2 linked regions of the Oryctolagus cuniculus genome follow. The protein of the gene in region 2 purifies or fractionates together with the protein of the main gene of each other region. This does not show direct contact. Links are inferred from orthologs where the notes say so. Each region holds a gene or a part of one and is shown on either strand. Other genes may lie near its edges.

Region 1 (7,907 bases), on a different chromosome or scaffold from region 2:
GCCCCTGCACCCATGTGGGAGACCCAGAAGAAGCTCCTGGCTCCTGGTTTCAGATTGGTGTAGCTCCGGCCGTGGCGGCCATTTGGGGAGTGAGCCAACGGAAGGAAGACCTTTCTCTCTCTCTCTCTCTCTCTCTCACTGTCTGTAAATCTATCTCTCAAATAAATAAATAAAATCTTTTTAAAAAAAATTTAAAAATCTTTAAAAGAGAGAGAGAGAGAAAGAGGTCTTCCATCTGCTGGTTCACTCCCCAATTGGCCACAACAGCTGGAGCTGTGCCGATCTGAAGCCAGGAGCCAGGAGCTTCTTCTGGGTCTCCCACATGGGTGTAGGGGCCTAAGGACCTGGGCCATCTTTTACTGCTTTCCCAGGCCACAGCAGAGAGCTGGATTGGAAGTGGAGCAGCCGGGACTCAAACCAGTGCCCTTATGGGATGCTGGCACTATAGGTGGTGGCTTTACCCACTATGCCACAGCACCGGTTCCTCTAGAAAGTTCTTAAGCAAACAGGATGTTGGTGGCCAAAACAGATGAAGCAAATGCTGGGAAGGTTGTAATGCCCATAGTACTCAGCCAATGAGGGGGAGGGACCTGCTTACTAAACAGCCCGCTGTAGACCACCTGGGTGTGCGGGCTCACCAGGTACTGGATCTTGCAAGCTCATTAATAAATTTTGCTTTAACTGCACTTCTGAGTCTGAGTCTGTTCTTTGGGGTGGACTGGTGAGGCTATTTCTCACGATGCAGAGCAAGCCAAAACAGTAGTCAAAGTATATTTCTAAGTCTGAGACCTTCTGGAACGTCCTGCTCAGGTGGTACAGGAGGTGGTGGAAGTGGGGCTACCCTCAGCGCAGTGTAGTGGTTGGATTTCTTAAGATCTATGAGTAAATATGTGGATAGAGAGACACGTTGCTCAAAAACAAAACAAAACAAAACAAAACAAAACACTAAATACACTTTTCCAGGAAGAGTCTATTAAAGTCCATATTTATTAATGTCATTCGTTAATGAAGCAAAGGGACAGTCCTGCTGGAGAAACACCCATTTCACTGCATTGAATAGAAATAAAAATCTCCATATCCCTTTAATAAAGGCTCTCATTTTTTGCATACTTGCTCTTTGCTAGGGACTTTTATAGCTTCATTTTGCAAAGCAAAAATCCAGGGTTCCATTTAATCTGATCCAGTATACTTAAATGCTAAATATTTAATATACTAGATAAAAACAACTTAATCTAAACCAGCAGTGAAGTCCCTAATTTTCTCCATGGAAACTTATGCAAGAGAAAGTCTTTTTGTGGGTTTTTCACAAAATGGTTTCGTCATCAGCATCATCGTCATCATCAGCTGTACATGGTTATTTCTGACATAAACATGTCCATTCATTCATTGATTCACTAACAAATATTTGCTGTATAGCAACATCAAGGCATCGTACTAGGAGTTTGTGGAAGATGCAAACATGACTCCCAATAGGAATTCATAAACTAGCAAGGGAGAGAAAATAAAAAACAGAATTTGATTAGTATCACAGGAATTGGGGGGGGGGGATATTTTAAAAATGGGAAAGATCTTCTTCCCTCTGGGGAGTGGGAAATTTTAGTGGAAATGACAAAAACTGAACGCCAAAAATTAAAAACAGAGGCGCAAAGACGAGGGACAAGAGAAAAGGAGGGATTATTACCAAGGTGTCAGGACTCCTCCAGCAGACAACTTGCCTACCTTAAAATGATCAGCAAACGAACGTCTGTGGATTTAGACCTAGTAATTATACCCCCAAACTGGTGCTTTAAGGGCAGCAGTACAAAAGGCCATACTCAAAATAGCGTCGCCTCTGAATGGACGGGAAGGACCGTGAGAGCCGTCCGGGACTAGGGCAACAGCGTCCAGGAGCAGTGTGGACGCTCGTTATTGGTTCGCTTTCCCATCAGCGCATTCTAGGTTTCCAGTGAATGCCGGTACGTTGATACCACTGCGCGGCCCCTTATCGGACTGGTACCGCCACGAGTGTCTCCAGTGGCTGCCAGGGCGCTGTTTACAAATAGCATTCGTCCGATAAAGATGATGTTCTTTAATCTCCGGAGTTCAGAAGAGACACAGAATATAAGTGTAATATTCTTTAGCTTCCCTCGTACGTGAGCCTCTTGAGTCCAGTTTTGGTTCAACTCGGACTCCAGTAATACCACTGTAAGAAAAAGAAAAAGAAAAAGAAAAAGAAGAAAACATTTTTTTTTTTTTTATCCCTTTAAGTGAATGAAACTAATCTCGTCTCGGACTACTAATCCCATCACGCAACACTCCATATTCCCACCGTGCGGGGTGGAGCCGTAAAGGGGCGGCACAGCGGCGGCCCAAGCATTCTGGGCGTTGTAGTCTGGGGCCGGGCCACCGCGGGCGCCCATCCACGTGGTACGTTTGGCGGCAGCTTTGGGCAGTGGCTCCCCGGCTCCCTTCCTCAGTGCCCTCGGGGTGCGGGCGCCAGCAGGTACTGCCAGCCGCCGCGGGAGCCGGCTGGAGTCGGGGCCCGAGGCTGCCCCAGGCTTCGCGACGCTTTTGCGACAGCCGCGGCCGTGTTCCGCGGGTGCCCTCCCTCCTCCTCTCTCTGAGGAGGTACCGGCTGTTGTGCGGCGCTGCCTTTCTGTTGGAGTGTATGGGAGAGTGAGTGAGTGAGTGAGTGTGAGCGTGTGTGTGTGAGAGAGAGAGGGTGAGGCGTGAGTGCGCGTGTGAGAGAAGCAGAGCCCACCGCGGCCGCCCCGCCGCTCCCACCGCAGCGGGAGCAGGACACGCGCGGCCGGAGAGAGCAGCGGAGCCGGCGCCCGCGGAGCCCGCGGGGACAAGGGCAGAGACACCCGCTCCCCACCCCCCGCCGTCGTCCCTCGGCTCTCCTTCGCCCGGGGGGAACCTCCCCACCCCGGCCGGCCTCTGCCCCGCTGCCCTCCTGGATGTCCCCGGCGCTCTCGCGCGGCCTCCTCCTGCTGCTGCCGCATCCGTCGCGCTGGTGCTGCGGCCGGCGGGCGTAGAGCGGGCGGGTTCCCGGGGGCTTGCGGCTGCCCGTGCTTCCCCGGTCCCCACCCCGGCCCCCGGCCCCCCGACCCAGCTCTCCGGCCTCGGAGGCTGTGACAATGGACTATGACTTTAAAGTGAAGCTGAGCAGCGAGCGGGAGCGGGTCGAGGACCTGTTTGAATACGAGGGCTGCAAAGTTGGCCGAGGCACTTATGGTCACGTCTACAAAGCCAAGAGGAAAGATGGGTGAGTGTGAGTGTGTGCGTGTGTGTGTGTGCGCGCGCGCGCGCGTGCCGGGCGGCGCTCCCGCAGGCCGAGGCAGGTAGCCCCGAGGGAGAGTCGGCCGCCGGGGTGCGGGGCGCTGACTCCCTCGACGCCCGCAGGTGTCCCCGCCAGCCGGTGTTGGGGAGGCAGTGGTGGACGAGGGCTGCGAGCCCACCGGAAAGCCTGCGTGCTGCATCTGCGTTGTGCTGGGGTGCTCGGTGGGGACAGGAGCCTCTGCCCAGTGGACTGGATACTTTCCGAGGGTTTCGGTCCTGGATTTTTTCCTCCCTCTTGTAAATGCGCTTGTAAAGCGCACTTGCAGTGCTTTCTTTTCCTCCGGTCGGTCGGTTGATGATGGTACTGTTCTGGGGCTTGGCTCAGCCGACTCTGGAATGACATCCGTGAGTCTGCAAGGGAAGCTGCGAGCCTTTCCCCCACCAGTTTGTGACCAATTTATGATCAAATTGGGGTTTTATTTGTGGGGAAGAAGGCAGCAAGTCAGTATGGTTCTGGAGCGTTCCTCGTGACCATCGGCCACACAGATGTAGCAGTTGCTATTTGGGTATCATTAGCTGTGAGTTTTTACCTAGAACAATGGGGGTTTGGTGCAGGGTGGGTAGTGGGGAAAAAGACAAGTGACAAATAGGGGCTGCCTTGTGCCGGCTGTTTCCCCAACATTTAGCACCTGACTGTGTGCTTTAAATAATCTCTGCTTTAAATATTCTTCCCTAGAAATAACTCAATTAAATCTCTGACTGGTAATGCTCCCAGTTTAGTTTCCTAATAGGCTAGTGAAGTGTTCCTTTTTCCTTTGTCAGTAGGTGAATGTGTTGTAATATTGACAAAAGAGAAGGCAGTTCTTAGTTGGGGAGGAAATATATTTTATTCACTACTTGTTTTCCTCTTGTGAAAATGGATGTTGTCTCTGTAGGAGATATTGGGAAACATTGTTGGGAAGGTAATGTCATAGCTTATTATATAATCTTTGGGTTTTATTGGAAACAAAATAGCTTTACTTGCATGGCTGCTGTTGGATGTTGAAAGTAATTTTATTTTTTCAAATTAGGTAGGAGGGGATGTTCAGATGTTCAGAAATACATTAGCACTAAAAAACGTGAAACCATTCATAAAGCTGAAGCAAGTTCTCTGGGAGAGTAGGGGGAGGCCGTATTTAGAAATACTTTAATATTCTGGATGTTGGAAAAGGAAATGTATATGTACTCATTCTATTTCTTCGGTTTATTGAATGAAGTGTCTTTTGAAAAAATATTAAAATGGAGCCCAGGAGAAAGATAGTAGTTCTAATTAAGTTGGAGCATGTATTTCAGTGCTTTGATGCAGTAGTAAAGTAGTACAGATGTCCACAAAAGGTAAGGATTTGAAAACTTGCTGCTCTGGGTCTACGTGCATTTAAAGGTACTTTTTAGCGTAATGGATAGTCTGGTGACATTTGAGAAATCAGTGTCTGGAGATACTGCTGACTCTGGTGTTGTCTAATTAGATTTCTCATTGAAGTTTTACTCTGTTATGACATATATTTTAGAAATTATCCTTATTAATTTACCATACATTTTTGAAAGGCCATCAACCATCTCCCCACCCCCCAATATTATGTAACTTTGGGCATATTCATACAATCTCCAATCCCAGAAGATTAGACATGGTAGTACATTTGGCCAATTTGTTGTCTGTTTTATAAAATTCTAGTGACTTTAAATTAGTTTTAATACCTTTGAGAAGCCAGCTCTATTTTCATAAATTCCCACTTTAAGCTAATAAAATATGCAAATTTGTTGTAATTCAGATTTTATTTAAAAACTAATATTGTGTGTTGGTAGGAAGTACTGTTATTTTGTTATTTTATATCTTAATGGTCATTTTATTTTAGCCTGTTAAGAATAATTTGAAAAGAATTTAAAAATAGTAAATTATTTTTTAAAAAGCTGGTGTATTGTGTAGAAACATTTATTAGTTATTTGTGATGGTTGAACCAGTAACATTGCATTTGGGAAAAGTTTTTATTTGTAATCCTTTGGGTTTGTTTTTCAGCATCCTTTAATGATTCTGTTTATATGATGAACTTTTTTTTAATGGATCAAATGTCAAGAGAGTTTTAAAATTGCTTAAAACAGGGGCCGGCGCCATGGCTGACTTGGTTAATCCTCTGCCTGCAGCGCCGGCATCCCATATGGGTGCTGGGTTCTAGTCCCGGTTGCTCCTCTTCCAGTCCAGCTCTCTGCTGTGGCCCGGGAAGACAGTGGAGGATGGCCCATGTGCTTGGGCCCTGCACCTGCATGGGAGACCAGGAGGAAGCACCTGCCTCCTGGCTTCAGATCGGCCTAGCTCCGGCCGTGGCAGCCATTTGGAGGGTGAACCAACAGAAGGAAGACCTTTCTCTGTCTCTCTCTTTCTCACTGTCTAACTCTGCCTGTCAAATAAAAAAAAATATATATAAAAAAATTGCTTAAAGCAGTTTGTTTTCCAGAGGGAATAGTTCTTGGTTTGGCTTCTTTTTATAACCTGACTCTGGTAAAATACCAGATTGTAGTTATGAGGTTCTTTTGATCTTATGTCAGTAAAATGTAATTTAATACATTTTAGTCCTGGTAAAATAAAGTTTCTGGCAGTTTAATCTTTTATAATAAGTTGATCAAATAATTTGTTTCTAGTATTGATTTACTTTCAAATTAAATTATGTATTCTCCAACCGAAATTTCAGAGACCTCCAGGAAATCAAATGGTAGCTCATTCAAGGAGAATCCTGAGATTATCATAAAATAAAATAATGTAAATAAACTTTTATTTAGACTTATTTGCCTATTAAAATGAGTGTATGTAAATGTTACTTTTTTTCAGTTGTCCAGTGGGCATAGAACATGAATGAGTGGTAAAAGAATTTAGACCGCCGATGCCACAACTCAATAGGCTAATCCTCTGCCTGCGGTGCCGGCACCCCGGGTTCTAGTCCCGGTCGGGGCATCGGATTCTGTCCCTGTTGCCCCTCTTCCAGTCCAGCTCTCTGCTGTGGCCTGGGAAGGCAGTGGAGGATGGCCACTGCACCCACATGGGAGACCAGGAGAAGCACCTGGCTCCTGGTTTTGTATCAGCGCAGTGCGCCGGTCACAGCGGCCATTGAGGGGTGAACCAATGGTAAAGGAAGACCAAGACCTTTCTCTCTCTCTCTCTCACTGTCCACTCTGCCTGTCAAAAAAAAAAAAAAAAAAAAAAAAAAAAAAAAATTTAGACCACAGGAGTTAGCTTCTACAATTATTAAATTTTAGGAAATAAAATTGCTTGAATCTTCATTTCTTTGATTTAATGAATGAATTTTTTACAACTCTATGCTAGTATACACTTATGATAAAGTCAATCTTTTAAGGAATGTAGGGAAGGGGGAATATTTTATTTGAATCATGATTACAGTACAAGAGGAAAATGGGCCTTTCATAATTGTGTTAATTTCAGATTATAATAGTTAAAATATATAAAGATAGTAGAATTAAAATTCACTTGTTCTCAGTATCATAAATGAGAGTGTGTCCTTTGTGTCTGATCACTAGAAGGATACTCAGTGGGAGGCAGGGGGTTCATTCTTCTGAGTCCATTTTATCTCTTCTTTGCAGACTTCAGGCAACCAAACTCATTTTCTTTGAAAGAATGGAAAAGTATAAGAAGACAGAAAACAATTTGTCTTTTAAAATTCTAGACTCTCAATTTAGTCACTGAACATATGTAGAGTTAAAAACTCAAGTTGGGGGCCAGCATTGTCGCACAGGGGGTGAAGCTGCCACTTGTGGCAGCATCCTACACCAGAGTACCAGTTTGGGTTCTGACTGCTCTGCTTCTGACTCAGCTCCCTGCTGCTGTACCTGGGAAGGTCGTGGAGGATGACCCACGTTCTTTGGCCACTGGCATTCATGGGGGAGACCCAACTGGAATCCTGGCTCCTGGGTTTGGTCTGACTCAGCAGCTCTTGCAGTCATTTTGGAAATGAACCAGGAGATGATGGAAGATCTTTCTGTATGTATTCCACCCCCCACCCCCGCCATGTCATTCTGCCCTTCAAATAAACCAATAAATCTTTAAAACAGTCAATTTGGAGTAAGAGTTTTATCCCCAGAAAAGAAAGAAAAAAAGAATTTCTTAAATAGTGTTCTCAATCTGTCTTCAAAAGAATGGGTAGTATATAATTAGGATTGTTGTGTGTTTTAGGTACACAGAAAACGTTCTTTGAGGCATATTTGTAGAAAACTAAGACATTAGTGCACAGTGATAATGATAAGAATAGCTAAATTATTGAGTAATTAATTACTAAGTCCTGAGTGTTAATCATCTGTTTAATCCTTGTAACTATGTCCAGTTGTTATTTTTCCCTATTACAGGTGAAGAAACTGAGACTTAGAAAATGGGTACGTGGCTAATTAAGTGTTAGCAAGGAATAGATACAGACCTCTTACTCCAGAGTCCATGCTCTTAACAATTATGCTTCATTATAAATAATATACATTATAAGTATAAATATTGGTTTCTAGTAAGTGTAAATATTGGTTTCCAGTAAGTTGCTTAGAAAACATGAATGCTTTATCATAGAGCTGTTCTTTTCAATAAACTGTATTTTGGGGGTATATTTTCTGAATGGCCC
Region 2 (6,212 bases):
AGACCCGTCTGTCATTTCTAAGGAACACAGAAAGAACCGGCTGGGACTGAAGAGCAAGGCAGCTGATCGGCCCCGCACGGACAGCTAGGGGACACGGAAGGCCAGTCCCAGAGCCAGGGCTCCTAGCTCAGCGCCGCATGTCCCTAAGAGCTGCTGCAGGAGCGCTCCCCTAACGGCCATCGCGGCTCACAGGGCGCAAAGCGTTCTGATTTCCCAGCGGGACGGCAGGGCCCCGCTCCTGGTCTGGCCAGGGGTGCTCGAAGCAGATAATTTCATTACAAAGGCAGGGTGGGAGGGGGAAAAAAGTCACTCAAAGTTTCAGTAATTCAATAATTTATTCCTCTAAAAAAGTGTGTAAAAGTATATAGCTCTCATCCACAAGGTATATATGAATGACATTTAAAATGGAGGCCTTTTATTATTGTTTCTTTTTATCAAAGTCTTTTAGTGTACTGTACCAGCGCTATACTGTAGTTTTTTTTAAATGAACTTCACATATTTTTGTATTCTTTCAAATTGTTTGCTATATATAAAAGAAGCTCACTGCAAAATGCTTGAAGGAAAAAAGGAAACAAAAGAAATTCAGAACTTCCCAGAAATGTACAGCTTTTACATTTAAAAAAGGTTCTGAAATATACATACAAGCATGCTGGACAGTCCCACCCTTCTCCCCCCACTGCCCCTGTTGAGTTCAAACCATGGTAAGAGTTCTGATCTTTGCAGGATTTCCAAAATTAAAAATAAAAAAAAATAAAATAACTTCTCACTCTGTAGCAAATCCAGGGCTTGTACATTTCAGATTAATTCAGTAAAAAACTCACAAGTAAAATAATGCATATTTAAGGGAAATATTATACAGACTTTTTCACACAGAAGTACATAATAAGATTTTTTAAAATCTATTGCCATTCATTTATTTTTGCACAAAAACGTATAAATATGTCACCAGCTTTTCTTAACTTAAAAAACTTAAATAAAAGACACCAGATGAAAACTACCCTTTGCTGCCTTTTTTTTTTAATTTTTGTAGGGTTTTTTTGTTTTGTTTTTTGTTTTTTTTTTTTTTCTTTTTCTGCTTAGAACTGGGTTTCTAGGGAAGAAAAGCCCCTGCATTAAAAACAGCCCATTAAAAAAAAATTCAAAGTTCTGATGAATTCTGGGAAAAAAAGCAACCCCAAAGTGGTAAAAGATTACAAATATCTACTTTACACTGTGTCTTCTCAGCAAGACAGTTCTATACAAGTTTACAATCTCCATCATCTTATGCTCTTCAAAAGGCCTTGAGAATTCTCCTTTCTGATTAAGAAAAAATAGCACTGCAATATTTTTAAAGTCAACTTTACACTGTACACAGTAGATACAAACGGTTGCTATATCAGATTCTTAGCCTATACATTGCGACAGGCGACCCTCCCCCGCCACGGTGGCACGGAGAGCACCGCCACTCATTTACACGTCACGTCTCTGCTCTCCCGTGCCCACCACACAACTTTTTTTTTTTAATATAATGTTTTAAACGTTAGATTATTTCAAGAAAAATACTTTTACAAAATCATATCAATTATTACATTTCTCCTTTTTTTGTTAATAACCAGGACACGGAAGTCTCTTGGAAGAACTTGTAAAATTTGCATGATTCTCTGCACACACAGATGACAAGAGCCCCACGGCCTGGTATGCGCGGCTCCTGGAGGCCGGTCCACATCCACTGCCCCCAGACAGAAACACCCAGCAGCACAGGGTTAGAGACAGGGCTCTCAAGACAACCTCTGGGCCTGGAATGAGGAGTCATAAAATACTTCAATTAGCCATTAATGCTTTAAAAAGGCATTTTTAAAAAAGTTCCACCACGAAGGCTCAACTTCAAGTACTAATTTAATGGTTAAGTTGTAATATTTCTTTGAAATAATATTCCTATGGTCCAGAAAAAACTCACCATATTCAGAACTGGCTTATGAGCAAACACTGTCAACTGTGATATGTACATGGATGAGTCCCTTTTGATCTAATGGGAGGAGAGACCTGGCTTTCGATAAGAATTCACTAGAAAATAGATTTCCATTGTGACTGTATAAAACTAAGTGAGGGACCTGCCTCCGTGGCCCTGGACTGGGCCCAACTCCTCCAGGATGAAAACGTCATCCCTCAGGAGTGGAGCACATGTCACTGGACGTGACAGAACCTGTAGACCCAGTTTGTTCTGAACAAAACCCACTGCTGGGTGGTTCTGAATGTTATTTCTTAGGCATCACCTCCCCAGTCTGTCTTCACCCCTTTCCGCCTCTGGGACAGAGGGGTGCAGTCAAAGAATCCTATGGTGGGGCTGAGTTGGGTTTCAGCTACTGTACCTGGTCCTCGTGAATTAGAAAAAGTCAAGTCACAGAAACTGTATTACAAAAGAACTCAAAATAAATAAAATGAAGCTGTCTCCAGACCTTTTGCATCTACACACAGGCATGAAGTCAACCAGAGCACGCGTGCCAATCTGGAGGGAGCTCTGAGGGCAGAAGCCCCAGTATGAATCAGGTACTTGAGCTGGTTCTTAGTTCCAGAGTCCCAGTTCTGGGCTTCAGGTAACCCACAGGCCACACGCCAGTCACTAAGGACCAGACGGCCTGCATCCTTAACAGAGGCCGACCACAGCCTCTTGTGCAAAAGGACACTGTCTCTTCTGGTTCCTCTGAGAAGCCGCCAGCCACCACCGTTTCCTGCAGGCCAGTGGCAGGGGCTGCGCACGCCACAGCCCTGGCTGGAAGTCACTGCTATGGAGTTCCAGGTCCGCGAGAGAAGCGTCAGGGAGTCCTCTGAACTGAACACTGCAGGGACTGAGCGTGCCTGCGGCGCAGGGATCACAGTGCAGGACTGCGCGGGCTCAAGGACGTGGGAGGTCTGCAGAGCGGAGCAGGAGGAGGAACTGGGCCAGAGAGAACAAGTGCTTTTCCAATCAGAGTATGTTCATGATGGCATTGTACAACTGAGTGAGCACCACAAAGTGGACGGGAAGGCAGGAAGTGCGGTCTTGGGTGGCCGGATTGCACGTGAGCCAGGAGAGGGCGTTGTACTGCTCCAGAACGAACCTGCGAAGAGAACACAGAGATCAGGGCAGGGCCCGCGGCACACGCGAGGCTGCTTCTCCGCCTCGCCACACCTTCCGGACCTTGGCGGGAGAAGGCCTCGCATCATTCTTTACCTGGCCCTGGGCTCTTCTGCATAGTCCTGTCTCAGGCCCCTCTTCCTAATCGACCTGAAGCGCCCACGTGGCTGGCACCAGCCACACGTGGCCACTGAACACCGGAGCAGAGGCAAGATCGAGGAGAGATGCGCTGTACAGATACAACCTGCAGCAGAGTGCAGGGACTCCGTACTTGAAGAAGCCAGTTCAGGGACATGTGTACACTGATGACATGTTGCGATGGTACTATTTCACATGTACTGAGCCAATACAATGCGCTGTTGAATCAATTTAACTGATTTCTTTTTACTTTTTTAATGTGGCCACTGGAAGAATTTCCATTAGATATGTGGCTCCTGCCGCACTTGTACCGAACAGAGTTCCTTCAGGGGCCTGGGAGTCCAATTCAGGTCGACCAGGTTCTTGTGTAACTCTAAGTTCTGTAAGTCAATTAAGAGCTGGCATACACTAAAGAAAGCTTGTGTCTTTTCTCAAGGCACATGAAGACTGTCCATGGACTGGTAAAGTGTAAGAGACTGACTACATATTCTAGAATGCACTTCCGACTCTGGAATTTCTGTTCAGCCAATGTTACTTACAGAATCTGTGGCAGCGAGGGTGGAAAGTGTTTTCAATGCAAAGTACTTGCAGCTGCAGGCACTGCCTTCTACCTACTCGCCCACTGAAGGTGACCAGTCGTCACCATGGAATGCCTCCCCGAACAGGAAGCACAGGCAGCTGCAGCCGCACACACACTGCCTGTGCCAGGCCCCCGCAGGCGGCGGCCCTCGCTGGCCGATCAGACACTGCAGCATGCGCCAGCGGCAGCACCTCTTCCATGAACACCACACTTAGACGCAAACCCCGGAGTGAAGGAAGGTAACTTAAACTGCCCCTCTATTGCCTAGGTCAGGATCTACCTTAAAACGTCAGATGTGGTTTTGGAGTCCAGAGGGTGTGGAACCCGCTGAGAATTCCTGGCAGGGAGAAGTTCGTCCGTCTGTGCTACAGAAATGTGGTGATGCAGGGAAGCCTGGGGAAAGAAGCAAGAGCATTACCTCGGGCCGACAACCTCAGCGCAGCCAAAGGAGGCCCAGGGCCAGGAGCACATGTTCTCCACAGAGTGTCCGGGAGTCCACGCGGCCTAGGCGGCTCAGTAACCCCCAACAGGTCCCATGAGCTTTTTTCAGCCTATTTTTCTTTTTTTGGCCCACTATATTTCGTTTATTGGAAACAGTCAAATATAAACAACAGTATAATATATAATGAGGCATCACATACCCCCATCACCAAGCTGCACACACATTACCAAGATATGCGACTTTTTGTTTCGTTTGAGTTTGTTCCCCTCATGAACTGTTTAAAAACAAAACCCAAATACAGTGTCATTTGGTCTATAAATAATTCAGTAGGTACCATTAACAAGTAAGGACTTTTTAAGATTTATTTTGTTTATTTGAAAGGCAGAGTTAGAGAGAGAGAGAAGGAAAGAGAAGGAAAGAGAGAGAAAGAAAGAAAGAGAGAGAGAGAGAGAGAGAGAGAGAGAGAAAGAGAGAGAGAGAGACGATCTACCTTCCTTCTGCTGGTTCACTCCCCAAAAGGCTGCGATGGCCAGGGCTAGGACAGGCTGAAGCCAAGAGCCAGGAGCATTTAAGTGTTTCCTAGTCTTTTATACATCTCATGTTTTGTTCTTGTCCAGTGATTTCTGGGACAGACTCCCCGCAGGGAACTGCTGTCCCATGAGATAAAGCGTAGGCCACCTCATTCACGATTGCCCCCAACACGAGGTCTTCTTCCCAGGCACAGCATGTTCTCCAAACCTTGTTTTTTCTGAATCTATTGGCAAGAAACAGATCTTTCCTTTTTTTTTTTTTTTAAGATTTTTATTTATTTATTTGAGAAGAAAGAGCTACATACACAGAGAGAGAGAGAGAGAGAGACAGAGACAGAGACAGAGGGAAAGGTCTTCCATCTGCTGATCCACCCCCCAAGTGGCTGCAACGGCTGGAGCTGGGACAATCTGAAGTCAGGAGTTTCCTCCAGGTCTCCCATGTGGGTGTACAGGCCTGAGCACTTGGGCCATCTTCCACTGCTTTCCCAGGCCATAAGCAGAGAGCTGGATTAGAAGACGAGCAGCCGGGACATGAACTGGTACCCATATGGGATGCCAGTGCTGCAGGCAGAGGCTTAGCCTACTACGCCACAGCAATGGCCCCAGGTTGAAGATGTATTTATTTGAAAGGTGTAGCGACAGAGAGGGCGAGGCAGAGAGAGAGAGGGTGAGGCAGAGCGAGCGAGCGAGCAAGCTCTTTCCTATTGCTGGTTCACCTTCCAAATATATACAACAAGTGGAGCTGAAGCTACCAGCCAGGAACTCTATCCAGATTTCCCATGTGGGTGGCAGGGAGCATGGGCCATCCTCTTCTATCTTCTGAGGGCATTAGCAGGGAGTTGGATCAGAAGCAGAACAGCTGAGACGTGAACTGGGGCTCCAATATGGGATGCCGGTGGCTTAACCTGCTGCGCCACAATGCTGGCCCCAAGAAGTGACTTTCATGCTAAGATTTTCCACACAAACTGCAAGTAAGGGACCTTTTACTACTTTTTTTTTTTTTTTTTTTTTTTTTTGACAGGCAGAGAGAGAGTTATAGACAGTGAGAGAGAGACAGAGAGAAAGGTCTTCCTTCCATTGGTTCACTCCCCTAATGGCCACTTTGGCCAGCACTGCGCCAATTCAAAGCCAGGAGCCAAGTACTTCCTCCTGGTCTCCCATGCGGGTGCAGGGCCCAAGCACTTGGGCCATCCTCCGCTGCCTTCCCAGGCCACAGCAGAGAGCTGGACTGGAAGAGGAGCAACCGGGACTAAAACCCAGGGTGCTGGTGCCACAGGTGGAGGATTAGCCAAGTGAACCACGGCACCAGCCAGGACCTTTTACTTCTAACTCTTAAAATCTTGGTTAAAAGAGATCACAGGAAAGAGCAAGTGTAAAGTGCGATACTGCAGCAGAATCTTGCCCCTCACACACAAAGAGGGCAGGAGG

Evidence for each region. The genes of interacting proteins can lie anywhere in the genome.
Region 1: the proteins of MED13L (region 2) and CDK8 purify together in Homo sapiens (affinity purification with mass spectrometry; 6 studies listed by BioGRID and IntAct, counting the BioPlex papers as one, with this or other methods). This does not show direct contact. The link is inferred for Oryctolagus cuniculus from reciprocal best matches to the Homo sapiens genes MED13L and CDK8.

Annotation. Positions count from the first base shown.
Region 1 is NC_091440.1:96,553,769-96,561,675, forward strand, and holds the start of CDK8 (cyclin-dependent kinase 8), read left to right. Parts: upstream 1-3,119; coding exon 3,120-3,247; coding exon of another isoform or gene 3,248-3,461; intron 3,462-7,907. Other genes in the region: collagen alpha-1(I) chain-like, read right to left, coding at 1,935-2,182, 2,309-3,461.
Region 2 is NC_091452.1:12,459,956-12,466,167, forward strand, and holds the end of MED13L (mediator of RNA polymerase II transcription subunit 13-like), read right to left. Parts: intron 4,206-6,212; coding exon 4,093-4,205; intron 3,078-4,092; coding exon 2,945-3,077; 3' UTR 317-2,944; downstream 1-316. UniProt on the Homo sapiens protein: Component of the Mediator complex, a coactivator involved in the regulated transcription of nearly all RNA polymerase II-dependent genes.